Bombyx mori: one gene and its partners. The protein of the gene in region 1 binds, or shares a complex with, the protein of each later gene. Links are inferred from orthologs where the notes say so. Each region holds a gene or a part of one and is shown in the gene's direction. Other genes may lie near its edges.

What was found.
Region 2: U5 small nuclear ribonucleoprotein 200 kDa helicase (region 1) and puff-specific protein Bx42 share a complex: the UniProt entries of both Homo sapiens proteins name them as parts of the minor spliceosome. The link is inferred for Bombyx mori from reciprocal best matches to the Homo sapiens genes SNRNP200 and SNW1.
Region 3: U5 small nuclear ribonucleoprotein 200 kDa helicase (region 1) and small nuclear ribonucleoprotein G share a complex: the UniProt entries of both Homo sapiens proteins name them as parts of the U4/U6-U5 tri-snRNP complex. The link is inferred for Bombyx mori from reciprocal best matches to the Homo sapiens genes SNRNP200 and SNRPG.

Annotation. Positions count from the first base shown.
Region 1 is NC_085130.1:11,237,004-11,240,660, forward strand, and holds part of U5 small nuclear ribonucleoprotein 200 kDa helicase, read left to right. Parts: coding exon 1-46; intron 47-632; coding exon 633-804; intron 805-2,908; coding exon 2,909-3,069; intron 3,070-3,657. UniProt on the Homo sapiens protein: Catalyzes the ATP-dependent unwinding of U4/U6 RNA duplices, an essential step in the assembly of a catalytically active spliceosome. Plays a role in pre-mRNA splicing as a core component of precatalytic, catalytic and postcatalytic spliceosomal complexes.
Region 2 is NC_085130.1:3,027,577-3,031,924, forward strand, and holds the start of puff-specific protein Bx42, read left to right. Parts: upstream 1-1,424; 5' UTR 1,425-1,549; coding exon 1,550-1,566; intron 1,567-1,737; coding exon 1,738-1,889; intron 1,890-3,608; coding exon 3,609-3,766; intron 3,767-4,348. Other genes in the region: uncharacterized protein LOC101746654, read right to left, coding at 521-593, 699-740. UniProt on the Homo sapiens protein: Involved in pre-mRNA splicing as component of the spliceosome. As a component of the minor spliceosome, involved in the splicing of U12-type introns in pre-mRNAs.
Region 3 is NC_085133.1:8,590,919-8,595,035, reverse strand, and holds the start of small nuclear ribonucleoprotein G, read left to right. Parts: upstream 1-1,193; 5' UTR 1,194-1,341; intron 1,342-1,615; exon of another isoform or gene 1,616-1,999; coding exon of another isoform or gene 2,000-4,117. Other genes in the region: uncharacterized protein LOC134201547, read right to left, coding at 2,000-4,117. UniProt on the Homo sapiens protein: Plays a role in pre-mRNA splicing as a core component of the spliceosomal U1, U2, U4 and U5 small nuclear ribonucleoproteins (snRNPs), the building blocks of the spliceosome.

The DNA of each region.
Region 1 (3,657 bases):
GCTTCGCCGCGCACGTGCACACCGTCATCGTGGCCGACACGTGCACGTGAGTCGCGCACGCTACCCGGGGGAGGGGCGGACACTTGGCTTCGAGTGGCTCAATACTTACTCTTGTAGAGCCGTTCGCTGTTTCGCTTCGAGTAGTTCCGATTACTGACTGACTGCGTGCCATCTCTACACCGCTGTTATAGTCGATACCTCATTCTTAAAATTATCGAGAATATTCCACACATATCTAGTCGTAGTTTCCGCTATCTGTCAATAGATGGCGTTGTACTTCTCGAGTAGTCTAGGTGCTTCGATATTCGTTCGACTATTCGGCGATAGATGGAGTTACTCTTACCGGTGTAACAGTATTATTGTTGTATGCACGACACTTTTTTTTTCCTAACTAAGCTGATAGCCTTGAGAGGCTATATCAGCGTAACCTTAACTAGTAGATGAGCTCAGGGGGCTCAAACCGGAGTGATGCTAACACTAGTCCAAGCAAGAGCCGTGCTTCGCAGAATCTACCACCGGATCGGAAACGCGACCTACTGAGAAGATCCGGCGAGAAACTCAGTGGGCTGTGTCTGAGGGTTTTCACGATACTGGTTCACGTTCCTACTAACTAACTTTCGTATCCTGGTCAGGTACAACGGCAAGCTGCACTCGTACGAGCAGTACCCGATAACGACGGTGCTGCAGATGATCGGGCGCGCGTGCCGCCCGCTGGAGGACGACCACTCGGTGGCGGTGCTCATGTGCGCCGCGCACCACAAGACCTTCTTCACCAAGTTGCTCAACGACTGTCTGCCGCTGGAGGTGAGGCGACACCTCATTGGGTTCAGACTGGAGATGAAACCGGATATCCGGTAACAACCCGGTATCCGCCCTATCCGGCCATGTTTTCACTATCCGGCCGAATAGTAAGTCAGTACCCGGCCGGATTTCGAATAGTAATAGTAATGAAATACGTACTCAACAAATGTTCACGATTGACTTCCACGGTGAAGGAATAACATCGTGTAATAAAAATGAAACCCGCAAAATTGTAATTTCCGTAATTACTGGTGGTAGGACCTCTTGTGAGTCCGTGCGGGTGCGCCCTGCCTGTTCTGGTTTGAAGGGCGGGGCATTCGTAACTATACTGAGACCTTAGAACTTATATCTCAAGATGGATGACGACATTTACGTTGTAGATGTCTATGGGCTCCAATGACCACTTAACACCAGGTGGGGGGGGGGGGGACTGTGAGTTCGTCCACCAACCTAAGCAATAAATAAAATACGGTTTGATGAGTTCGCCACCCACCTCGTGTGTATTTTCACTAGGAGTGGGTGATATAAATCGTATATAGATTCAATATCTATATATCGCAGCAATATCGTTGAATCCGATATCGCCCCGCACGAAATCTATATATCGATATCAGCCGATACACGATATTGCTCGATGTGATGCGCATCGGCATATCGTACCGATTCGTGAATCGAAATCTATATAACGATATCAGCCGATACACGATATTGCTCGATGTGATGCGCATCGGCATATCGTACCGATTCGTGAATCGAAATCTATATAACGATATCAGCCGATACACGATATTGCTCGATGTGATGCGCATCGGCATATCGGACCGAGTCGTGAATATCAGCAATATTCGTTTGGTTCGTATCGAATCGGCCAGAGTGAGCGAGCGCACGATAGGAATATCATATGATGAATGAAACAGAAACAGGCATTATCCATACAATTGTAAACCTTATATTTAAGTCCATATGTCTGTAGATTATTCTTAGCGTATCAGCAGGATACAATTAAGGAAAGAAGTTTCAACTTTCGACCCTAACTTGAATGCAGTATAGCCTATTTGCATCGTTGAATTTGATTTCACACGCTTTGACCTTGAACTAGAATTTTTGGACAAGTGTTTATAAATACTTAAAAGTTTTTTGTTTGATTTTAAAAGTACACATTTTTCTATTTTTAGTTGAATCCAAATAATTGAGTTTATTTCTTGTGTTTGTATTAAACTTTTGAAATCTACACTCTTTTGGTATATTTTGTAATTTTAAATTAAGACACAAAATACTAAAAACTGAAAATAATGTAGCCAGTCCTAAGCCTGGTAAAAGCATGAAGGAAAGTTTTTTTGATATTTTTATTTTCATGTTCTTTTTATTACTTTAAGATCATATTATAAATTGATATCAGAAAACCAACCGTATAACGTTGACTTAAAATCTATATCTACTACGATATTATATCAGCGTATCGTTTCAAATCTCAAATATCATGAATCGAGAAAATCTACTAGCATCCATCAATATATAGATTCAGAAAATATATAGATTCAATATCCGATATTGATCCTCGATATATAGATACGATTCGATACGCGGCAAAACCGATATTACCCACTCCTAATGTTCACAAGCTTATAGCTTAAGGCGTTCTTGAATGATCAATTGAAATTGATGATGCCATCATGAGAGAAAAAGATCATCATCATCTCTCGTCATCACGAGAGAAAGAAAATAACGCTAAGTACATTGATACATAATTTGAACACCGAAAATAATACAAATATGTAATATAGTCAAATTATAAATATATATTTTTAATGTAATAATTATATTTAATAAATGTAAATATCCATGTGACGGTGCATGTTTCATGGTGTATAGTAGACAAAAATAAAATTCAATTTCTTTCTTTTTTTACCTATGGCAATTGTTGCCAGTGTCGAGTTTATAAAAATCTTTTATTATTAAATACACACATATTCTCTTATGTTATTTATTTAAGTTCAACAAAAAATCCAAATTTTCAATACGATTCGCTACGGAAGCTGTTTTTTTCTTTTTCTTTTTTCTATACAATAAATTCTTAAATTTGAACGGTACTTTTGTTATTTAACAGAGTCACTTGGACCACAGACTCCACGATCACATGAACGCCGAGATAGTGACGAAGACCATAGAGAACAAGCAAGACGCCGTCGACTACTTGACCTGGACATTCCTGTACCGGCGGCTCACGCAGAACCCCAACTACTACAACTTACAGGGGGTCACGCACAGGTGACGTGTAGCTCCACTCTTGTAAGGGGGACGGGGGGGGGGTCACCGGGGGTCTGGCAACACTAACCAACGGTGTTGTCGGACTTTTTGGCGGGAACGCGAGTAGTGAAATTGTCTGATTTGTTTTATTCTGTATATTTAGTGTTTCTTCAGGTTTAAATGTGTAATAACGGTGGTTTATTAACTGTTTAGTATATGAAAGTGAAAGATGCTCATATGTGGGAAAATAAAACAAAGCTGCTGGATGTAACTTCTCGGGATCCTCCAAAAAGTCTACTGACAAAATCTCAGTAAATGACCACCATTTTACTGAGATTATATTTCATCCCATATCATCTCATTTCATTTAATTTCATCCCGGTTGATTAATATCTCAAATTAATCATCTTCATTTCATTTCACTCCATGTTATCATTTTTCATATAAAAATAAGAATATAAATTAAAATAAGACATGACCTAAAGGAATTAGTTACCAGGTCATAAAATCACTTAAAAAACAAAAGATTCTATACTAGCGTTTTTCATTTATGCCTTAGACCAGGGGTTCCCAAATTTATTTTCTCTACTGCCCTACTTTGAGAATAAA
Region 2 (4,348 bases), about 8.2 Mb from region 1:
GAGAAATCTTTGTAATGTAAGTAGTCACATTCTGAGGTAGATAACTTAGTGTCTTAAGAGTTCAGGGATCTTTTATTCACTTTCATAATAGAATAATTCAAGATGATTTATTAAGTAAATTTCACATCAAGCCCCTCAAAATCCAATGCAATTGCATTTAAGTGATTATCTTCCAACTGCAGGCTGCTTAATTTAAGCAGTAATACACACAATTTCCACATACATATACACAATAGTTATGTGTCATTAGAAAAAAAAAACTTTATCTTCCATGATATAATCTAAAGAGCACCCAGACTATAAAACATAATAAATAATCATTACATAAACATTTTCATGGCTTAGTCCCTATTTGTACTAATAGCACATTTGTTTGCTCATTAATTGGCCCAAAAGAATTGCATAGAACAAATACGTTTTGTTAAAATAGTAAAGAAAATGTTGTACAGTCTGTGTTGACTTAAAGACAGACTGCTATGAAATTATAGATATTTTATAAAATTATAATTGAAAAGGATATAAATTATGATGGGGACTGCCTGTGCTACTTTCCCCACCTCCTCATCCGTCTGCATTATCTTCTTGATACGTCCCTACAAACAAACAATGTCATGATTTCACTAATCTCAGACTTTTATACATGAAAACAACACATATTTTAAGGTTTTTGAACATTTTTTAAGAACTTTTGAACTTACTGGTGGAAATCTAGCATTGTATTTTCTCTTCTTCAACGGCATTTTGTATGTACGTTCACTATAACACCAATTAAACAGGAAAAATAGTTAAATTTGTCTATAGAACTATTACTTCTCGCGCATTTTTGAGGTTATAAAAGGGAGACGTTCGCAGCCTACTTCATTTATATACGAATTTGACAGTTCGTCTCCACCTCTTTTTGTGACCATTTTGAAACATTGAAATTTTGAACATTAAAATTCATTGCTATGGCGATAATGATAATATTTTTTTCATTTTAAACTCTAAAGACAGTCCGAAAACATATATTTCGAAAAGAATGATGACTTGTGATTGTGAATAATTTTGTTTCAGTCAAGTTAAAAAAATCGTTCAGAAATATCATTTTAAAAACAGCATCGAGAACTATGAATTTTTATTGCGAATTCCTTCAGGATTGATAACAAAAAAACCGTTCAATGATCAACAACAATGGTACTATTTAATGTATAGGCGAAATTAAATAACAAAAGTTGGTTCGGATGTCTACCTTGCTGACAGTGTACCTTGATTTACATAATACGTCTTGTGTTATTTGAAAAGACCCCCTCAGCATTAGTTTACAATCTCTGCGGAAGAAAAAATCAAACTCAAATTGTCTTTCATTCATTTTATCACAAAATTAGATTACATAAAAACAATTCCATTCCATTTTTCAGACATACGACTTTATAACAAAAGATCAGATTGAAGGATAGTTCTCTTTACTATCCATTGGACGAATCGTACAGAGAAATAAATCAAATGTCAAAATAAATGAACAATGTCAAATTAGTGAAATGTCTACGGTATTTCAGATTCAGACATAAAAATGGCGTCGTTGTCGAGGTGTGTTTTAAATGAAAACAATCAACTTAAATACTTGAAATTGAATATACAATAAACGCCGAAATTAAATAATAACTGATTAAAGCTACTAGTTAAATTAACTATTGTAAATAAATAATTTCATACGTTTACGTATTGACAAACTGACCGTGGTTCACGTTTCATTTTTAGCTTGTTGCCTGCCCCTAGTCAGCAAGTGTGGGATAGAGATGATGAGTTGAAGGCTAAACGTGTCGGGAGTGCTCTTGTAGTGTCCCAGACCAGTGTGCCACCTTACGGTGAGAGGAAAGGATGGGTACCTCGAAGAGACGAAGATTTTGCAGGTCTGTTAAATTTTGTAGATAAAAAAGTGAATAACCCCCGAAGTGAGAATCAAGTCAAAAAGTAGGTTTTTATTTGAAGTCGGAAAAAGAGTATCATCATCGATTCTATTCATACAATAGCATGTTTACTTCTGACGTGTGCTTATCCAGATATTAATCAGTAGTTGTGGCTTTCATATGAATTGAGAGACGGGAATAACCCCCGAAGTGAGAATCAAGTCAAAAACTAGGTTTTTTATTTGAAGTCAGAAAAAGAGTGTCATCATTGATTCTATGCATACAATAGCATGTTTACCTCTGACCTGTGCTTAACCAGATATTAATCAGTAGCTGTGGCTTTCATGTGAATTGAGAGACGGTATGCCGCAGGGTGTTGGAATCTGGATACCGAACTAGATCTTTCAGTAATTCTGAATGTCATTCTTACATAAAAAACCAGGTTATTATAATTAAAGTGGTTTTTGTGACATAAAACTACATAGCCTAATAATATAATCTTAATAATAAAATACATAGCTTAGTAACTATTGTGATGGCTTGGGATACAGGTGTATACAAGCTTGTGTAATGAAATAAATGTAAATTGTAATAATATATTTACAGTAAGAACTTGCTTAATGAGTGATAATATACATTCCATCAAAGTAGAGTTTAATATGAAACAGCATTAAACATAATCTCATAATGTAAATAATGGGGTTAGGTTAGATAGAAAATTGGTGAGGTATATAACATTAAATACCTCACCAATTTTCTGTCTATCTTTCTCCTATAAAACAATAATCTATTTCTTACAAATATAGAAACAATAAATGAATATAGTCTGTATGTTTATGTTGTATTTCAGTTCATACAGTTTCTTCTGTATTGCCAATTTTCTGCCTTTATTTTGCCAGGTGGTTGGATGTGCTAACAGCCCACGTGATGTTAAGTGGTTACTGGAGCCTATAGACATCTACATCGTAAATGCCACCACCCACCCTCAGATTTGTGTTCTAAGGTCTCATCTTTAACTACGGCTGCCCCACCTTTCAAACTGAAACTCATTAATGCTTTATAGTGTAAATAGGCAGGGTGGTGATACATCCCCGTGCAGACTCACAATACGTAATACCACCAGTAATTACGCATTATAATTTTGTGGATTTGATTATTATTATGTGATGTTATTCCTTCACAGTGGAAATCACTTGTGAACATTTGCTAAGTACGTTCATTGGAAAAATTGCCAGATTCCTTATTGTTGTCGTTGCCAAATTTAATGCAGCACCAATTTCAGATTGACATTCACCAGTATCTAATCTTCTATTAGCTTGCATCTAGTTTCTAGGGAAATAGTTTTTCTTGTTGCTTTATTTTTGTGTTTTTGTTAACACCCATGATAAAAACTTAAAATAAAAATATTTGTCACTTTATCAATCATTGTATCATATAAATTTGTACTTACAATAACACCAACAAATGTTTGAAATGATAAAAATATGTTGGATAACACTGCAGGATAGGAAAAACACAGAATAATTTATTCTGATATCGGGAAGCCTAGTGCCGTGTGCAATTTCAGGTCTTCTTCAGGCAAATCTTACAATTCAAATAAAAGAGAGTTAAACTGAAATCCCACTGAACGAGTCAGCATTATGTCAGGGTCTTACTGTACTTTCAAATTACACCTAAAATTAATTATATACGCAGTATTGCTTCAAAGCTTGTATGTTTTAGATGGCGGAGCATTCCCAGAGATCCATGTGGCACAGTACCCGCTTGGTATGGGAATGCGAGGCAAGGAGAGTACTTCAAACGCTCTTGCTGTCCAGCTGGATGAGTCTGGGAGAGTCAAATATTCTGCGATTGCCAGACAAGGACACAGCGCTGACAAGGTGATCAGTTAATTATTTGACATGGTGAATGAGAACACAATAGATATTATTGTTGAAGTCCTTGATTACTAAACACTTAGATATGTAAACACATAATAGGCTGATTAGAGAAATAATTTAAAACATCTAACAAGTTCTGTGAAGTCTGTTAAAAATCTCTGAATCTTTATTTATTTTAAAAGTTTTTGACTGTAAATAATATGTCTGTGTAGAATAATTTAAATGTGACCATTGATGTCATTGTTGGAAAAGGCGCCTGTTTAGTTGAATGAACAAATATTATGGTACCATAATTATTTCTGCACAGATTTCAATTTTGTATCATATAACCAGTCATCTAAATGGATCGATAACTTAACATTAAATAATATTAATTGAGAAATAAGCAGTAACATAGTTTGAGCATTTCCTGAAACCATCTCTAGGAAAGTATTATTGGAAATTTTTCCAACCAACAGGTGTTGTTATGCTTTTTAGATGGTTGGTTGCTTTATGGAATTTGTATGTATGCAAAAAGTTTGAAATCGCTGTTTGTTTAATGTTAGTTTTTCTTTTATTTGTTTCTCTTACTATTGTTTGTCG
Region 3 (4,117 bases), on another chromosome or scaffold:
ATTGAAGTAGCTTCTTGCAGTGCATTATTAATAAAATAGAAGCACAGATATAAATATTTTTATTAAGTTTTATTAAATATTAATTGGCAAAAAATTACTTAAATTCGTTTAATGGATCGATGTTTTTCGATTTTAAATCGATGACATTCGTACGATGCTTAAATACATTAAAATGTATGATATACTGTATAGACGTATATTAACAGTCTTTTTGTAAAACTTTTTACTTTATCTGTTGGTTCGGTCTTGTTTTTACTTTACGGAGTTTTTAATATTTTTTATAATTCGGTTTTGGCAAGCGGTTAGCGGTTAGGCATGCCTAATAGCTTAAGCTTATAAATGATGGTATACATTAATACAACCACAGTGATTCATATTTTTTTGGATTGTTATACCATAAACTGCGTTTATTTGTGATCTAGGACTGTATAAAGTAGCACGGACGGATGGAAGTAAAACATTTTGAACAAAGGGGTAACCTAGATACTCTAAGAGTCGGTGCACGAAAGCGTTTGTTAAATTTATGAATTCAGAACCCACCAACTAGAGCAGCAACCAGATAGACCCTGAGTTCACAATCATTAGAATTCTGTACAGTGCTAGAATAGATTTATTTATGTATTTTCCCTAGCAGCCAGTAATTGCCTTATTTTTGTTTTTTTCTATTGGCTACTGCCAGAAGTTACGTTGGAAGGCTTGATGAGTTTATCTTTACAAACGCAACCATTGTGATCATCTATAATATTATATTTTCAGACATTTTTGCCAAAGACCATCAAACACCCCAACAATCTAGCACCCCACTAGATGCTTCTTTTTCTATTTGTTCTGAGTGTCCTTTTAAGCTTCTGTTTTTATGTTTCGTATGAATGATGCATTATGATATTCTTATGCAAATTCATAAAATTTCATAAAACGTGATATTTTGTATTTAAAAATCTAAATTATAATGTATCCTCCCATGGTACGCTGCCATGGATATACTACTAGCCCAAGAAAGATTCATGTCAGACAGACGGCCGATCGTAAAACTCATGCTAAAATCTCTTTCAGCAAGTTATGAGGACCATATTACTACCATAAATAACGTAGATTTATTATGGCCGGGAAAAAGTAGCTCGATCAAAGCTGTCAAGTTTCTGACAAGGCTTAAGAAGAACTCTGCAATAGGCAGTAGCTTGACCGTACGTACCTCTGATATTGTTGATGTCCAAGATCTATAATTTCCAAAATTATAATCGTAATATCGCCGTGTCAAAGGTTCTTATTTAATTTTGGAAGTGGCAGCACTGTCTCAGACGGTAGAATATAGTAGAAAAGTTAAATTCATTGACAAAATTCCAAAGAGTATATAATCACTACGTTATAAGAGTCCGCACTTCATAGTAAACGTTACAAAATGAAAATGTATGGGATCAGATCCGATCTGGTGACAACATTAAAACAACCACAGACTACAAAAATCCTACCACTGTCAAAAATAGTGATGGGCATTAATATCGATGTCCAATAAATAATGATGCGAATATTATCGATATTTTTGTCGATATCGAATGCAGGCAAGGATTGCATATTGAAATAAAAACTTTATTATTTTAAAAGAAATAAAACAATGTTTTATTACTTAGTATAATTTTAATGAAATTTGTAAGTAGAATTTTAACGCTTACAAAAAATTTTAAGTTTGTATCGGAAATGTTTAATTTTTATTTTACAATATAAACCAATATTTACTTAATTTTATGCAAGGTACAATAAGTATACATGTAGAGGTTTTCAACCTTGTTTTATAATGTTATAACGAACTAGGTTTTGAAAATTTTTGTGCTAAATAAAAAACAATTCGTTTCTATTTCCATTTGAAGAGTAAATTTTTAAAAACTTCTATTTTATAATAGTAAAAAAATAAAGTTCTAAATCTCTAAATGTATACTTTTTTTGAACTCAAACCCGAAGTTAACTTCTTTCTACAAAAAACAAATAAAAACTAATTATGTAATTATCTTGAAACACCATATTGTTGACCCCTTTTGTTCGCGTCCGCCAAATCCTCTTCCTTTGAAACTTGCTTTAAATTAATTATCTGGCACTGTCGCCGAATCAGCATTAGAGCCAATTTTGTAAACAATAAGTCTGACATTTGTTGACGATGATTAATGCATAGCCACTCTGTATTACAATTTGAATAAAATATAGTAATTGTCCACTGGCAAATATTGTTATTATGTAGGTTAGGGATACAAAACTGTTCAAAATTTGTAACCGCAGTGTGTACAGTTTGACACAACTGCAATGATGGATATGTCAAACATTTCTTATCTTGCCACCACTCCCTTAATTTAATTAAATCATAAATCTTATTTTCCTCTGGATCTGCAACTGTCAAAGTTTCTCTACAGACCTGGCAATCATTTTTTTTTAGAATAACAGAAGCTAGATATCCACTTATATAGACCACTGGTTGATTTGAAATTTTTGCTAGGTCACATACTATTTCTTTATATTCTTCTTCTTCAGGTATACTGAGAACCGGGTTGTCTTCCTCATTTTCATTTTCTGTGGAAACATGACTAGGAGACTCATTAATATCTTGACCTTGATCATCTTCGTCTTTAAACCCAAAAACTAAATCATGAAAATCCGTCATGAGTTCCTTTTTGTCTTCTTCACAATTGGAGTTTTTGCTGTGAGGGGCGGTAAGTCCTGATATTATAGAGGTTTTCATAGCTGCTATAAATGTAGAACACGTCGGATGCTTGTTTGTTTGACCATGCTGTCTTATTAACCCAAATAAATTTTCTAATGCATCCTGGTTTAACTGCCGTAGATTCAAATACTTATATCCTAAATCCTGAACTTCCAGCCAAATATCACGCAGCGATTTTAATGATATAATGTAGCCTTGAACACACTTTACATTTTTTGCTTCCACGCCATTATGGTTGAAAAATGTTAAAGTAGACAGTTGCTTTCTATATTCTGTCCAAACAGCTAAATGGTCAGTTTTAGCAGATACGTTTTCCCGTATACCTTTTTTTACGTCAGCATGTCCTGATGGCCCATTTGTATAATCAAAAAGTTTATTGAATTTTTCAATTAACAAAGCAGTCTGTAATATTTCATCTGATCGGTGTACATTTTCCACATTCGTAGCTAATAATTTAAGAACAGCAGCCACTGTTTGGCTAAATATTTGTGCGGCATACTTAACTTTCATTTTAGCTCTGTACTTTGGTTGTACATGAGTTGATTTGAGTTTGCTAAGATATAAAAAATTTCTATTTCGTTCCTCTACCTCAACTAAATGGCTCCATTGACCTTTCAATTCTCCCATTTTCAGAAATCCTTGTTTTAAAAAGTTATTTCTCAGTGATTTTAATAAATGTGGAATATCATAAATTATATAAATTTTTTTATTTTCAAATTCAAAATAATTATGTCCACCATTGTTCCACTCCTTTAACAGACTTAATGCTCCCATATTGGTGGGCGCTTGATCACATATTGTTGATAAAACTTGAAATCCCGAGTTAGTAATTTCTTTAATTATATCTTTTATTAAAACTGCTAATTTTTCTGAAGATACTGTGCCTCTTATGAAATAGAATGCCAGCGGTTGTTTAATTTTTCTCCCAATACCTTGTAACATGAAGACTAAGGCATGATTTGCTAGCTCATCTTTCCTCTCATATCCATAATCGATAAACCCTTCCACTTTATCTGTGGCTTCGCTATAAGTTAACCTTTCTTTTAACGCTATTTCATCAAAGACTAGCGAACATAATTTTGCTCTTATTTTTTTAATGGGAGCTAGTTTTTTCAGGTGGTCAAGTACAGCTGTATTTAAACCTGGCTCAACAGGTATTTTTTTCATTAATTTTTGCAATGTTTTGATACTCGGAAATGGTGCGAGATATCGCAGATATCGGTAAGCTTTTGGTGAACGCTTGAAGATGGCTAATGCTGATATTTTATTTTTAATAGTCCAGCGTTTGCCTTGTGACTTACGCTTTTGATTTATCAACGCAGACGTGACAATTTCTTTTAGAAACTCTGACGATAAATTGTCTATTAGTTTCGCGCTCTTTTTTAATGATGCCAATGTGCACTTTGTTTT